Drosophila melanogaster: one gene and its partner. Changing the gene in region 1 together with any one later gene gives a genetic interaction. Each region holds a gene or a part of one and is shown on either strand. Other genes may lie near its edges.

Evidence for each region.
Region 2: of PGRP-LC (region 1) and PGRP-LE, changing one enhances a phenotype caused by changing the other (phenotypic enhancement), as found in Drosophila melanogaster (one study listed by BioGRID).

Annotation. Positions count from the first base shown.
Region 1 is NT_037436.4:9,337,189-9,345,625, reverse strand, and holds the start of PGRP-LC (peptidoglycan recognition protein LC), read right to left. Parts: upstream 5,189-8,437; 5' UTR 5,037-5,188; intron 3,462-5,036; 5' UTR 3,299-3,461; coding exon 2,497-3,298; intron 1,427-2,496; exon of another isoform or gene 1,303-1,426; coding exon of another isoform or gene 1,014-1,302; intron 727-1,013; coding exon 502-726; intron 18-501; coding exon of another isoform or gene 1-17. Other genes in the region: PGRP-LA (peptidoglycan recognition protein LA), read right to left, coding at 7,757-7,900, 7,966-8,172, 8,405-8,437. UniProt on the Drosophila melanogaster protein: Major activator of the imd/Relish pathway and is likely to encode a pattern recognition molecule for the humoral immune response. Required for Relish processing and nuclear translocation following proteolytic cleavage.
Region 2 is NC_004354.4:15,800,653-15,807,549, forward strand, and holds PGRP-LE (peptidoglycan recognition protein LE), read right to left. Parts: upstream 3,229-6,897; 5' UTR 2,675-3,228; intron 2,439-2,674; 5' UTR 2,056-2,438; coding exon 1,857-2,055; intron 1,788-1,856; coding exon 1,488-1,787; intron 1,425-1,487; coding exon 1,311-1,424; intron 1,096-1,310; coding exon 1,031-1,095; intron 959-1,030; coding exon 599-958; 3' UTR 501-598; downstream 1-500. Other genes in the region: CG15602 (uncharacterized protein), read left to right, coding at 1-244. UniProt on the Drosophila melanogaster protein: Peptidoglycan-recognition protein that plays a key role in innate immunity by binding to murein peptidoglycans (PGN) of Gram-negative bacteria and activating the imd/Relish pathway. Has no activity against on Gram-positive bacteria.

The DNA.
Region 1 (8,437 bases):
GATGACATCCAAGTCCGCTGCATTGAGAGTTTTGGAGTTAGCATAGCACGAAAGCGACCAAAACAATAGTAGTTACTAATTACTCGCGATTTCTTAACATTTGCATCAAGACATTTAAGGGTGTACGAGTTTTATTATTTTATTATTTTTATTATTTAAAACTCACACTACTATTGTTTTGTGAACTTATGGGTGACGCACGAGGTCGATTCACTGGCATATTCCATTCAATTGAACTTTAGGCCACACTTTTGATTTATAGGTCACTTCACAACACTGACAAGTGATAAGAAACGCGATCAGAATAATGGATTATGTACCCAATAACGACTACACAATGTTTCTTATGAGTTACATATGTATATACAGTATGAGATTAAGATGGATTATACACATGCTGGTTGGGATGGTGAGATGATATATGTTAGAGCATGATCGCCAATTCGGTTTTCGTTTAGTAAGGAAGCACTTTTGCACACTTAGCGGGAAACAAAACTGTACCTATTGTTGAATTGATTGGAATATTTTGTCTGTAATCGTCGTCATCTCTGATCTTACTTTGGTTCAACGTCTTTCCGAAGAGATTTGTGGTGGTGGCCAGTACGATACCCAGCAGGAAGGTTAAAGTTACAAAAACCACTGTAACTGTGACGGCCTTGCGTCCGACAGTGTTGGGCAGAAAAGGACAAATTGGTGGGGTTTGCGCCGGATCTTCGTGTTTGGAGCCTGAAAAGTGTGGGTAAGTGAAAGCTGTTTAAAAAATGTTAAGGAAAACTTAAATAATGAATAAGGCAAAGATTTCTAACGGCTTAATAATAAATTCTATTGTTTATGAAAGATAAAAGACTTAATTTTATTTGGAAACAGTGGAACCACCTTTGTTAAAGTTTAATATATTCGTTAATTTAAAGAAAGAAATTTTGATTTACGAAGGATTATATAAATTATTCAGTTTTCTATTTAGCCTATAAAATCAAAGATTAGCTTGCTATATATTCAGTATTTCTTCTTACGCTTCACTAGCCCCTGTTCTAGGATTTCCAATCGTTTTTCATGTTCCCGCAGTGACTTTTCCAACCACTTGCTCATTTGTGCTCCAATTTGCACCCCATTCAGACAGTTGTCACATTTCCACCTTAAATTGGGCACCATTTCCAGCAATTTCAACTGATCCTCGGACAATTCCGTGCATTTGCGATGACAGGACCGACCACAATAAACATTATCACACTCGATACGCCTGTCATTATCTACGATTATCCCGTGACACTTTAGGCAAATTTCAAGCGTGTTCCTCGACATTCTCCGATCGCTTTATATGAACAACTGAAACCGATCGTTGGGTACTTTTCCCGATCCGCGCACATAGTATGCAGGAACTGTTCTTGTTTTTCACTTTTTCATTTAGCAAGTATTTAAGCCGCACGCAAAAAACCCCCCCGCTTTATATGAGTATTTATTGCGTGATCCAGGGGAAGCACCTGCCTTTATAAAAACAACACTTAACTACAGCTGACTAAATTTACACTCGAACCCCTGGTTCAATTCCAATTGGAGACTTTCGCCAACCAGAACGGCGATTTAATTATGGTAATTGTGAAAATCAATCAAGTAAACAATTGCAGTTGCTATGGTTTTTTTTTGTGCGTAATTATCGCAAGTTTTCACCGATTTGATTTACGAGCTGCGGGGCCTTGAATCGGCAGAGATACATTTTCTTTTCGTGAATGAAATTTTACTTGTTTTTTTTTTGTGCTGAGATTGTAATCGGAAAACAGGGAGATAAAAAACGAGTTCTATAAGTAATAAAAAATGTATTAATATTAAAAAATCCCCCGACACTATTGGCGTTAAAACTTTTTCTCTCATGAATTTTATTTTATGTGAGACAAATTTTGGGTTCGTGATTTTCATAAATATTTTTTAATTTTCAAGCTAAAATATTTTCTATACGTAATAAAATTATTTGGCATTTTAACAAAATTTTCCATAATGAGTTTTGTTGCCTTGCGCAATTAAATGCATTTAATATGTTTTTATAGTAACATGTAGTATTTGTTCTAGGCGCATACAATGAATCTGTCTGCTTTGTGGGCCATCTGCTAATCTACCATTCGCAGCACGGTCGTTAGACCTGGCCAATTGGGTTGAGTAAACAAATAGTCACACGCGCTCAGTTTTGGCCCATTAAAGCAAACAGAACCGCGGCAAGGTGAAGACAGAAATGAAACGCAAACAAAGGCAGCAGGAAATAGCAAAATAATATATATATGTTTTAAGGATATATATCCCAGAAAATATATATTTTAGAATAGAAAACTAAAAAGTTGAAATTATCGAACTAACGATCCTCAAGAATAACTATGCAGAAAGATGCGAAAGCAATCGAAAGTTACAACTTTTAAGATTCCATTCTTAGTATAGTGTACAAAAACTAAACGATATCAGATTTAGATTTTAAAATACAATCTATTAAATTAGCTTAGAATGTCTTACCCGGCGCACTTCCATTCGTGCTGGGACCACCATTGAATGCGGGGTTATCCTGTCCACCAGCTGGTCCCTCGCCCGGTTTCCACTTGTCCCGATTATCGATGAGAAACTGTTGTATCGTCACGGGTCCCTCGTAGAAATGCTTATCACCGAACGTCACATCTGTGGAGTTGGTCAGGGCGATGCTGCCAATACCCTGCGTGGCACCGCCCGCCGGCGATGTGGGCGTGGCCACGGCCAGATTACCGTTCAGTATTTGCTTGGCCACAATGCCAGCTTCCAGGGGATTGGGTGGTGGTACTGCCGCCTCACCTGGCGCCACATGGCGACTGATCACCGTTAGACCCTGGTTAAGGTCGCGCAGGTGTGAACTGTTGGGCGGGTAGGTGACCTGGTGACCCAGCTTCTGGACCGTATAATCCTCCGCTTCGGCCTCCGAATCACTATCAATACTACTCGAGTCGATGGCATTATCATCGATGGACACAACGGAAATTGTGGTACTCCGTATGGAAACCGCCGGCGAAGATGTCTTTCCAACATTTTCCGTTGTTATATTGACAGTGTGCTCAACGCTGATACGCTTGGATTCCGTTTTCTCTTCCGATTTCGATTGGAACTGCCCTTCGCCCGTCCCCCGATCTTTGGTCTCCTTCTCCGGCCGGAATGCCGCCACATTATCGTTTAGTATAACGCCCGAGTCTGTGGACGAAGTACTGCAGTTTTTTGGTCCAGTCAACGGATCGTTTACTCTACGTTTCGCATTGGAACATTGGCTCATTTCCGTTTCATTGCTAAAAGGCATGTCGAACTATCGTGACAGTCACGTAACCAGATTGATATTTTCTCTGGATCTCTGAGCGTTATGTGTTAGCCTTCCTATTTAGCAGATTGGGCGGTACATTATTTTTCGTATGGCAAAACGGCTGACTAGGCACAGCTCTCGGCAAACATCACATCATGAGCATCTGCAAATAAGTATACGTTTTTTTTTTTGTTGGTCCCGGTTAACTTGATGATAATAAGCTAGTCAAACGTTGTCAAATTTCGAAGAAATTTTTTGTTTGAATTGGGCTAAAGTGGGCTTAACTTTGGGGAGGCACTTTGGCTTTATGGTGCACTGATTTTTTTATTTTTGATAAAACCACATAATTCCCTTGTGTGCAAGTGTTTTTAGAACATTGATAAATATATGTATATATTTTAACAATGTATTGCTGATATTATATTATGCGATAAGCTAAGTGATATTTATTTGATAGCTTTGAGCATTATTAAACGGTTTGGATAACACACACAATTTAGAAAAATATTTCGTCAGTTCTTTAATACTTTTCAATTACACATGCTTTATAAAAGTGATTTTATTGTTATCACAATCCATTAGATCGTTCAGTTGCAATATGATTTATAAGTACAATCAACGCTTTTAGTTCATGTATACACGATTGTTGATAAGCTCGATTGCCAACAGAGTTTTTAAAACGCGAATAAAAAACGTTGCTGCTGTTGTATGGCAGTGAAGTTTGTATAATTAAGATATAAGGGTATTGAATAGTGCTGGAATATATGTGTATGTATACAGTTGACTTATATTGTATACTCGTCAAATTCGATTCAAATAGTTGGTCAGTAAGCTCGCACGAATGCAAGGCTTATGCAAATTAGCTATAATCATTGACGTAGTCTATTTACTTAAGTGGATTCCGAGAAACACAAAAGTAGTAGTTGTTACCCATACATATGCATGTTATGCTTAATTTTGGATATTCGAAAGCCACGAGTGACGTCTTCAAAAGGCTGAAAGATCATTATGGGCATATGCCGTGACGTCTTGATGATACGTAGATACGAAGGTTTCCGAAGAGGTGTGCCAATTTCAAAACAGTAACTCTATTTTAAAGAATTCCGCGAATTGTGATAAACTCGATAGAATTGAAAGGGTGCCTTGGAGGGTAGCGACTTTATACTTTAGAATCGATGTTCTAGAGAGTTGGCACAGAGCACGCTTTTGAGATAACACCAAATGGAATACACCGAATAACGACAACGGCTACAAATGAGAAACGGAATGGCATTTTGAGTTTACCGAGCGCACCAATACACGTGCACGGGAGCGGCGGCCATTGTCACTAATACACGCACAGATCATCACAATATGGGTGCTCTTTGTTTTGGTTGTATTCTGTTTGGAGAATCGATAATAATTAACAACTCTGATGTTTTACGTGTTTTCAAAATTATCATTAAATATGGCCTATGTGCAAATTAATTGATTTTCGATCGATGTTTCGATAGCATGTTTTCTTTTTCACTTCCACGAATTTCTTTCACTTCCTTTCGTGTTTCGAAAGGCTAATTAACATTCCTGGAACATAAAACGATTGGAGAAACAAACTAGTTTGCACTTAAATATCGATATAATTGCTCAATTATTTGTCACTAGTCATATAATAGGATTATGATTATTTTGCGGTGTGTAATATTCTATATAATCACTCTATATTCTATTCTATATTAACACTTTGCATATCGTTACGCACTTTAAATTGCCGACGAAAACCGTTGCAGCTCGTTTGATATTTGAGCGTCTATACTATATAGCCAATTTGTAAGTCGAACTTTTTATACCGTTTCGCGCCAATTTCGAATCGTTGAGCAGCGGCGCGTTCGAGTGACTCTGATCAACTGAGCGGCGATCAAATCGCAGCGGCCTGAAAAGCTGGAGCGTCTGATATGGCAGCGTGTGGGGAGCGTGTGTGAGGGAGAGCAGATCGCTGAGAAAAAAAAAACAAAGAGAATGATGGGGAGAGAGCGGTCGGCGTTTTTGCGTTTATTTAACCAAAGTTGTTTAATTTGAGTCCGATTTTCAGGCAGTCCAACTTGTTACCGATTTGCATTTTAATAAGTGATTTCTCAAAAGATCTTAAGAGTGCAACTCAAAAGCCTTGTTCCAAAAAACTTCTAAATCGTTTTAGAAAATATAATTTTTTAACATATAGTGTTTACATATTACATAATATGAACGCGTTCTGTTGTATTTTCTATCCTTTTTGTAATCTAGCGTTAACCAATAAAATGCAATGATTTAAATTTTCCTTAAAAAAAACTGTACATTTTAATAACTTATGATAGCGGTACAACTTTTTCTCAATCGAAACTGGTTTAAACGAAAAGCGAGTGATCCCAAGAAACCGAAAGAATTCCGATAACTGCATCTGGCGAGCTGCATATTTCGGTTTTTCCGAGCGTCATTAAGTCGCGGAACCTGTTCTCGATTTCGGGTTTTTTTTTATAAATCTTCCAGATATTAGTCAAATTTATAACGATACCTCCAGCTACGCCCCGTGGCTCGAGAATGGTCTCTCCAACTTCTCCCACCTGACGATGACTGTTTGTTTTTGTTTAGTTGTTTAGTCGTCCGCACCGACATCGACACAGACAAATCGGCGTATACGTATTATATATGTACATATGTATGTATATAAATATATATATTTTTTATTTATTCAACCAATAAACAACACAAATCTCCGGCTCTCTCCCGTCTACCAAAACACTTACAGACATTGCAGTGTGGGCAAAAATGTGAACATTTTAAATTGCGCTACCATTTCCGAGAATTGTTTTGTTTTGCGGCCCGCAATCGGTTTTTGGCTATTTCACTTTGTGGTACAGGCCAGTTATATATATATATATGTATACATATGTACATGTGTACATAGCTCTTTTTTTTCTCTTCCAATTCCAGCTTGACCCATTGTACTTGTGTTGAAAAATATTTAATGTAATTATAGGCGAACGGCGGTTCGGCGATCTCTGATAGTCTGAAAAGGGCGCCGGGAAACTGTTGATGGATAAAACGTAAAGAGCAACAAATTGGCGAAACGAATTCCGAACACGCTTACAGAAAAGAAAAATAAAAATATAATTATAAGTGGAAAGCGCAACGAGCTTTAATCGAAATAGTTGTAGACTATTTATAATATTTTTTCTCTCAGTGTTCCTGACTTACTGATAAGCTTGTTGAGTGGCCTTTAAAATGTATTATTTTATTGCAGTTAAAGTTCTACACCGAAACATCTAATGATTTATGCCTTTTGTAGCCAGGCAATCTATTCTTTGTTGACCCATTATTTTATTGCGAAAAATGCCAGTAATTATTGTAAATCATTTCCAATGAAGCAGATAATAATTTCTTTACAACGGTTGCGAAATCAATCACCATAGCTATTTTAATATACCTACCTCCACATATTTTCTTACCTTAATTATTATTAATTATTTTTACTTTTTTGGTTCCCTCTTCGCATATGTGTTTTTTTCTTCTTCTTTTTGGTTTTTACACGTGCCGTACTCTCGTCATTGTTTTGGCCAAAAATTCGTTCCGCGTTGTAGGTATAATTTTTTTTTTAAGGCGCCGTGAGATTAATTAGTCAATGAATGTATGTACGTCACTCTTTTGGGCAGGTTGGACTTTAGGTCATTGATGAAAAGAGGGTTAAAAGGCACACCCACTAGTTTATTAGCTTTCCATGTCGTCATAGTTTCAGCTCATCATTTGATGCGCAAGTTAAAAACATAAACATTTCGAAGGAGTTTCTTTTTTTTTTTACCAATATAAATCATCGAACGTACTTCTCTGTTGAGGGCTTTGAACTGAAGGTCGGTGATGATAGCAGATCTTATTGGCAAATATCCATTTCATTTTTAATATATTTCTCTGCTATTACCAGTCTTCCTGTAAATAGGATTGTAATGACTCCATATGATAACAAAAATAAAACATCATTATTATCATTGTACATATATTCACGTTGAAAGGCAGATAAATGACAAAGGCAGCCACAGCGATCACAACATCGTCTATATAAGTGAAGTGAAGTGAAGCTACCGATAATGATGTTGTACTGGCGCACAAAGGCTCTCATATATTTACACACACACACAGACACACACAAGATCGATGAGTGTTAAAGTCTATGAGGGAATAAAAGGGGTACTGGTATTGGCACTGATAGAGGTTGACTGCGGCTTGGGAATTTCCAGCTTTTTGAGCGACAGTAAAACTAAACAGAGCTCCAGAGAGGAAGAGAGACACTATATATATATATATTACTATAAATAAACCGCTTGCTCCCAACCGGTTTACTTTGGTTTCGAAGCCAGCATAACCGATTAAAAGAAAGCTCCATTCGCCTTAGTATATGTATTAAAATACAGTTTGTGCTTGGTTACACTTAGGTGGTAGAAAAGTCTGTAGCTATTGCTTGGCGTCCCACGATTCCGTTTTCATGCCCAATTCGATGCCGCAGGCCGGTGCTTCGTCCATTCCGCAGCCGTAGAAATGCGGCCAGTTCCGGATTTCTTGATACACATATGCACCCGGGCTTCTGGTCACCTTAGTCTGGAAAATATTCAATTAAATTATTATGTCACCAGATATGCCAGATATATAGTAAGTAATTATACCTGATTTTGCGCCACTAGTTTGTAGTCCACATCAATATTTCGATTGGCCACTGCATGGGCCAGCAGAAATTGGACACCTTCCAGCTGTTTGGGACCGGGCTTAAACCGGCCATAGTCGCCCATAAAGGTAATGGCCAATGTCTGGTTCGCATACGTGTTGGCCCAGTCCCAGCCGCGGCCAACGTAGATGTTACCCTCCTCCGAAACCTGGTCGAAACAAATTCGGAAATTTGACAATTTGCGTAAGCGGAAAGCGAAATGCCCAAAATGGCACGTGAACGTGATGGGAACACAAATGCACGCGCCGGGATTTCTTTTCCCTACTACACTCGAAGAAATTTTGATTTTTAAGGCTTAAAAAGTATTATACAAGGCTTATTTTAGGAACTATGTTTCCCATTGAGGCGCGTAAAAGAGTGCAGAACAAGAACAGGCTTACATAAAAATTGGATTGGATATCCGGCAGACCCTT
Region 2 (6,897 bases), on another chromosome or scaffold:
GCGCTTACCAGAACCTTCCGAGAGTGAAATTAGTCCAATTAACACTGAGTCGCCCGGCAACACCGAAGAATTGCCCTGGTGCAATATTTGTAACGAAGACGCCGACTTCCGATGCCACGGATGTGGTGGGGAACTCTTTTGCACTCTATGCTATAAGGAGTGCCACGATGATGACGAGGAGTACCGTGCTCACGTTAAGGAAAAGTATTCGGCTCCGCCAAAGCTTAAAGAAAATCACTTCTAATTGTTAATTGTTTACTTGACTGTACGCAAATTTTTGTTTAATTATAGATTGTTTTCAGCAAATGCATTACTATTGTCTGTATTTATGTGGTGCTAGCTCGCTCATATTTGTGCAGTATAATTGTTGCTTCTCTTTCAGTTGTGAATTAAAACAGGTAGGCGATGTTGGTTCCGAAACATCTTGTGGTTTTTCCACCTTTCAGCGCTGCAAAAACTATACCAAAATATAAAGTAACTTAACGAAACTGCCAGTAGCTGGAAAATTTATAAACAGGTGATTTAATGTTCAACATTATAAACGTAACTCGGGTGCATTTAAGTCTAAGTATGTGAAATGGTGCTCTTCTTTTGTCCCTCATTGTTCCTCCTCCTCGATATTGTAAAAGTGGGGCCATGTCTGTATCTCCTCGTACAATCGCCGACCAGGACTCTCCGTCGAATTGCACTGGCAGTGACAAATTAATCTATAGTCGGTGGATATGTGACCATCCTCAACGCCGCGGGCCAACAGATTGCGGCACATATTCAAGGCGTCTGCCGTCGGGAGTTCTTTCATGAAGCATCCAATGAAACTGATCCCCAGCGAGATCCTGTTGTAACCCAGAGTGTGGGCGCCCACCGTTTTCCATCCGCGTCCCTCGTAGATGTTGCCATCGCAGCCGACCAGGAAGTTGTACGCAATGTCATTCCATCCCCGCGACTCAATGTGGAAGCACTGAAATATATATACATAATTATTATATAGTTCGGAGCATATATGATTTAATTTCGCTAACGAAATACTTACCTGCATGTCACGGATAAGTCTTACGTTGATCGCCCGCTTTTCTGAACTCTCTGTAGCTGTGTGTACTGCGTGGTAAAACAATATTTGTTAATCAAGGTTTTAAATATATTCGAAAAGAGTTATAATACGATATAATCTTAGGTTAGTGAGTGCTAAGCATGATGGTCAGATCAAATAGTATAAATTGTTTTAATTATTGCGTCATACTTTTACAGACAACTTGATTTATAATCAGTTGGCAAAAAAATGGTTAAAACGTGCAGCAAACTTGAATACTCACAGATAACCACATATTTAACAGGCAGTTGCAAGGGCAGTGGCTCGTCCATGGGCTTCTGTGCTAGCCACGAAGAGCGCGGAATGATGGCGGACAGCTCCTTGGGTATTTTGAATTCTGTAAGTGAAATCGGTATCCTATGGTTAACGTGTATGCATCCCCTGGTGAATGATAGCTTACTCTGGCGCCTGATGAACACATCCGAGCGCACCCTCTCCTCCGACTCGTCCTGATAGTCGTCTTCGAAATGTGTCGGAGTTTTGGGAGCGTTATCTCTCGGTGGTGAAACATGCCGCCGATCTCTTCGGTTTTGAGTAAGGCCATCGGCTATGATTTGTATATTTCCATTAATATTGGTAACATTGCCGATATGGACGTTCGTGGAGTTGCTTATATTAACGTTGCCCAAAGTCTGAATGCTGTTGATCGAGTTCATAAGGTCCCTTATGGTGTCGCTGATGATCGAATGCTTTTTGGTAGCTTTAAGGTGGGGATATATTGAAAGTGTTATAAATTGAATATAGAAACTTGATCTTGAGTACTACGCACCGATTTGAGTGCCTAGTGTCATAGTGCTGATTTCTTCACTGGTATTTTGGTCGGCATCCTCCTCTTCCTCGGTATAATCGTAGTCCAAGCTGTCCACAACCGAGGACTCTGCAATGGACTCCAGTTCCTCGTCCTCCTGACTAGCCAACCATTCGCGAGTCCGCTCCTGGCTCAACTTTTTGATTCCCGATTCGGACATGTCCGTAGTTTTGGCTTCTGTTTGCTGCCAATAAATGCGCGTGTATCTCTCGGCTGGCCCTTACTTTGTTTATCAATATTGTGAGTTAGAACTGCTCTATTCTCTGATTAGTGTTCGTGTCGTGTCCACCTTACACGATAAGATAAGGACGTTCCACAGGCTATCCACCATTATATGCGCAGGTGCCGTGGTGAAATGCTTTTTTGCATATCAGTCCACTTGGGGCTTTTTTTTTGCATATTTAGTCATGTGTATTAATTATTGTCATGGATATCGAGGATCAGTCTAGATATCGATAAGTATTATCGATGTTCGCATTTAGAACAATTCCACTGCCTTTGAAGGGAGCTTAGCGGTATCGTACATACAGTGGGCCGCATCCACTAGTTGAGTTTCAGATTTCGATAAGTATTTGATTAACCATATAAAGCTTACAAAAATTTAAATACGAACAAAAAAAAATAGTTTAAATTATCCCTCTTTAACCGTTTTGGACATATATTTCTGTATACATATATATATTGTTCTATGAAAATATATAAATATATATAAATAAATAAATAAGTAAATAAATATATATAAATAAATAAATATAATATATATAAATATATAAACATACAAATGCTTTGTCCAGATCCGAAAACCCCTTATCACTGGCTAAAATATAACCAGTTTGGTTCACCAATCAAATCGACTGGAGGTACAATGCACCCAGTGCTGGAAAAGATGAGCTTTCCAACACTCTTGCCTATATTGGGCTTTAATGCTAAGCAGTTAACTGCAACACTGCACCGTGTTTGATAATAAACCTGTAGAGGCAGGTGATTACACCCAAGTCAGCCCATCTTTAAGCATTAGTCATGGGGCTAGAGGTACTCAGATAAACCACCAAAACCTAATTCATGCGCTGTAAACATTCACTCGACCACTCTCGCGTATGCGCTGTTCTTCCCTCCAAGTCTCTCAATTACTTTCTTTATTTTTATATTTAGTTACTGCTGGCTATTCAAGCCAACCAAAGAGCTACCACAACACGGATTTAATAGTCACTTAGAGCCATTAAAAGAGAATAAACTAAAATGTAACCAACTTATAAACTAATTTTATACATTGCTTAAGCGATAGTTTGACGTATAAAACTGAGGAGCTTATATTTATTACTTTTGACTGCACAGTGGAATGCATTCAAAGGTCTGTTTATGTTTTTGTTCCGGTGTGACCGTATTCCGAACAGGAACACAGTCTAATTTAAAAGTTAAATTAAAAGCATATCAAAAAGTGAAATAAACTTTTTAAATATCTTCGCTAATTGGACAAACAGCTTAAATATATTGTAATCAACAGATAACCTAATCAAATATACCAAAATAGGCATTTTTTAGTGGAGTTCAAAAAAGGGCGGCAATCACCTTCAGCTGAATCAGCTGTCAAATAAAGTGAAGCTTTGGTATTAAAGCTTTTAACATAATTTAGGGGAAGAGAAAACATAAAAATGTATGAAAATGAAAGAGAAAAACGGATTCTCTTTATGTAAAATCTTAGAATTAACGCTCTCTTAGGTTCCACAATTGGTTCCGATTGGAACCGCGCACAAAGAGAGCGAGGAAGAGAGCGAGAGAGTTTCGAGTCGAATTGGAATGGCCAGAAAAATATATTTCTGCTTTCAGTTTCGAAAAATTTTTCGATGGAAGCAGCCGAGTGCGAATGCGAATGCTCAATGAGAAGAGCTTTTACTGTTTTACTTTTTGCCTGAAATACATTTTGAGATAATTTCTTATTGGTAGTTCTGTTTATGCCATCGCTTGCGTCTGTCTGTGTTATTTCGATTGCGAGAGCTAGTTAACATTAGTTAAAATTAAAACAAACGCCAGCCATAAGATATAATCGAATTGCGGTTTTTTCTTCTCGTACCGAATTTCCATCCACATCCGCATCCACCATCCGCCATCCGCCAAACCCATCCCGTTCCGTTTGTTCGTCGCTATCCGTCGGATATGTTGTTCTATCGGTGTACCGTACAAGTACAAGTTCGTACCCAGTCCAAAGCCAAACAGATTGCGCCGTGTGCCGGTAAAAATAAGCGCAAAGTTTGAGAAAAACCATCAACATCAGATGATGTGCCCTGGAGGAAAAAACGTCGCGGATTTAATGAAATCTTAAATAATGGGTTCGCTTTAGCACAATTCGACGTTGCATTCGGCCAGCGGTGTGTTGTGTAAACAAAGTTGTAGTTATAGTTTTAGTTTAATTAGCTTCGCATAAGCTGCAACCGGATCTGAAACAGACCGTGGAAACAAAAAAATAATAATAATAATAATAATAATAATAATTGCATTTCATGTATGCCAGTGTAAATTTGCGTTCGTGTGTGCTAAGTTTACATATAGAGAGCGTGGAGTGGATTGGGATTGGATAGTGTTGGATTGGATAGTATCCCTATCCGATTCGCGCCGTTATTGTTAATGCGCAGGTAATTCGGAGCGCTTTTCGGCCATTCTGCCCAATACCAATATTTTGTTCTACATCGTGTTTTTATTTTTATTTTTTTTCCAACATTTTTTTTGCTGTGCTGTGCAGTGCTGTATGCGTTTATTTGACAGCTTATGAATCACCCACAAAGATTTATTTGTGCTGATTGCAGCACAACTGTTGCACCCCATTCAAAAAAAAAACAAATAAATAAATTAATAATCACAAAAAACACCCGCACATCGTCTTCGGGAAAACTACTGAAGCGAGTTGGGCCAGCAAAAAAAAAAAAAATACGTATAAATACAAATAAACAAATAATACCCAAGCCATTGTTCCCCCTCCTTAACGATTATAATTACGTTGCTTTTTTTTTTGCAGTGCATTTATTAAGGAATCCGTCTGATATCAGAACAACCTTAACTAACGCCTTTAAATCAATGATATGGTGGCCAATTCCCATTCCGTCGAACAATCGAATCGAGCGACTAGATTCGGTAAACATCGACCAAGTGTAAACTCGACTCCCATTACCACTGTGTAAATACCAGAAAGTAAATCCAAAAAAAAGAACAATAATTCAACCTGCAGGGGAAACTAAAAACGCACGATACACTTATTTGGAAGTGGATTTAAGTTTCAGTAATGCCAGCCAATGAACGACCAATTGCGATACAATACAGAAACACAAACAGAAACCGAAACATAAGCGAAGAGTAAATAAATGCAAATTAAAACAAAAAAGCCGGGCTCATGACACAATTGGTCATGTAAATCGCGAAAGATAAACATAATCCGTATAATTCGTATAAATATCATCGTAGTCGCGACGGTGGAAAATGTGCAGTGCGGTTAAATCCTAAAAAATGGATCGGTTTTCACTGATAAGCATCCGCATTTGGGTTTATTTCTTCGATCCCTGCAAGGTCCGCGAAAAAAGTTCGCCGAAGAAGGTGCTGTGAATAGCCCAATCAATCCGCACAGCTCTCCATTTCGAGATAGAGATCTTCTCCAGCTTTCGGAATCCTCGCACATCTAGACCATATCCTAGCCAATCGGAGCAGCCGCGCAATAAGTAGCATCTAATCCTGGAGCTTTACACCAATGCGATATGGATTGTGATTACTCGAAGTTTCTGTACAAAAGTAAGTAAATGCTAAGATTAGATACGATGATAATATTTTAAAATTTACCGACGGCAACTTACCCCGTTCATTAGTGGTAACTCGATGATGAATTTTAATGAATTACAATTTATTGTGCATTTGTAATTTTAAAATACTCTTCAATTTTAATTGCACTGTCAGCGATTCTTGGGTTTTTCTTCTTAGAAGCAAATGATGAAAGTCTATTTAATGTCAAAGCCATAAAATTCGATTTTAGTTCTATAGTCTGGCGAAATATTCAACTATTTAGACAATTTATGAATGCTGACAAAAAATAATGTTCTATTAAGTGGAAAAAATGTTGACTAAAGAATTGAGGGATTAATGTTAGAGGAAACAAATCTGATAATTCAGCAATAAAATAAGAAGCAATAATCTTGAAGACTTCGGGCCTTGAAAAGGTCCCATTTATGTTCCTCTCCAAAAACTTAAAATAACAAGGTTTTTTTTTTTTTTTAAATTGGAACAGGATTGCGTCGGTGGTAAATCGGCTTTTTCCGCTGGAAAAACAACAAACAAAGTCTTAATTGAATCCTTATGGGATTTTGTAGGATTATATTTACATACATATTGTAGATTGCCTAATATGTAACGTAAAGTAGCAATACTTAATACTTTGATAGAACACTAATAAAATGAAAAAGTTTATCCTGTGAACTGATCAACTCGATCTGTCCGAATGTTTCGAACGTTTCCAAGAATCAAAAAATTCAATTCAAAAAATTCAAAAAAATAAAAATTGAGTCCCAAAAACTATAGTTTCTGATGGTTAATGCATTCATGTGATCGAATCAAATAACAATATTAGAGTAGAAATCTTACAACACATTGCTTTTCCGCGATAAAAAATCTCGTGCTAGCTTTTATCCAATGGGGATGACAATGATGTGGCAGTGAGATGGGGTTTTTTTTTTTTTTTTTTATCAATTTCGTAGGCACATTTTTCGCTAGAGGTATTTTCAGTTTCGAAACATTCCACGGGACACTGTGCGTTTTCTTGTTGCCATCTTCCATAGAAAGTTCGTGGATTTCGGTTTGGTTCGCATCGGCTTCCCTTGAAACCGACAAAAGCAGGCGACGGAAGAAGCGAAAAGCAAGCAGCACGGCAGCGTCGGCAACGTCAAAGCGACACACAAGCAGCAGCAAGTTGGAAAAAAAGGATTCTTCCCATCAGAAGTTGATTCCTCATGGTTTTGCACAAGATAAA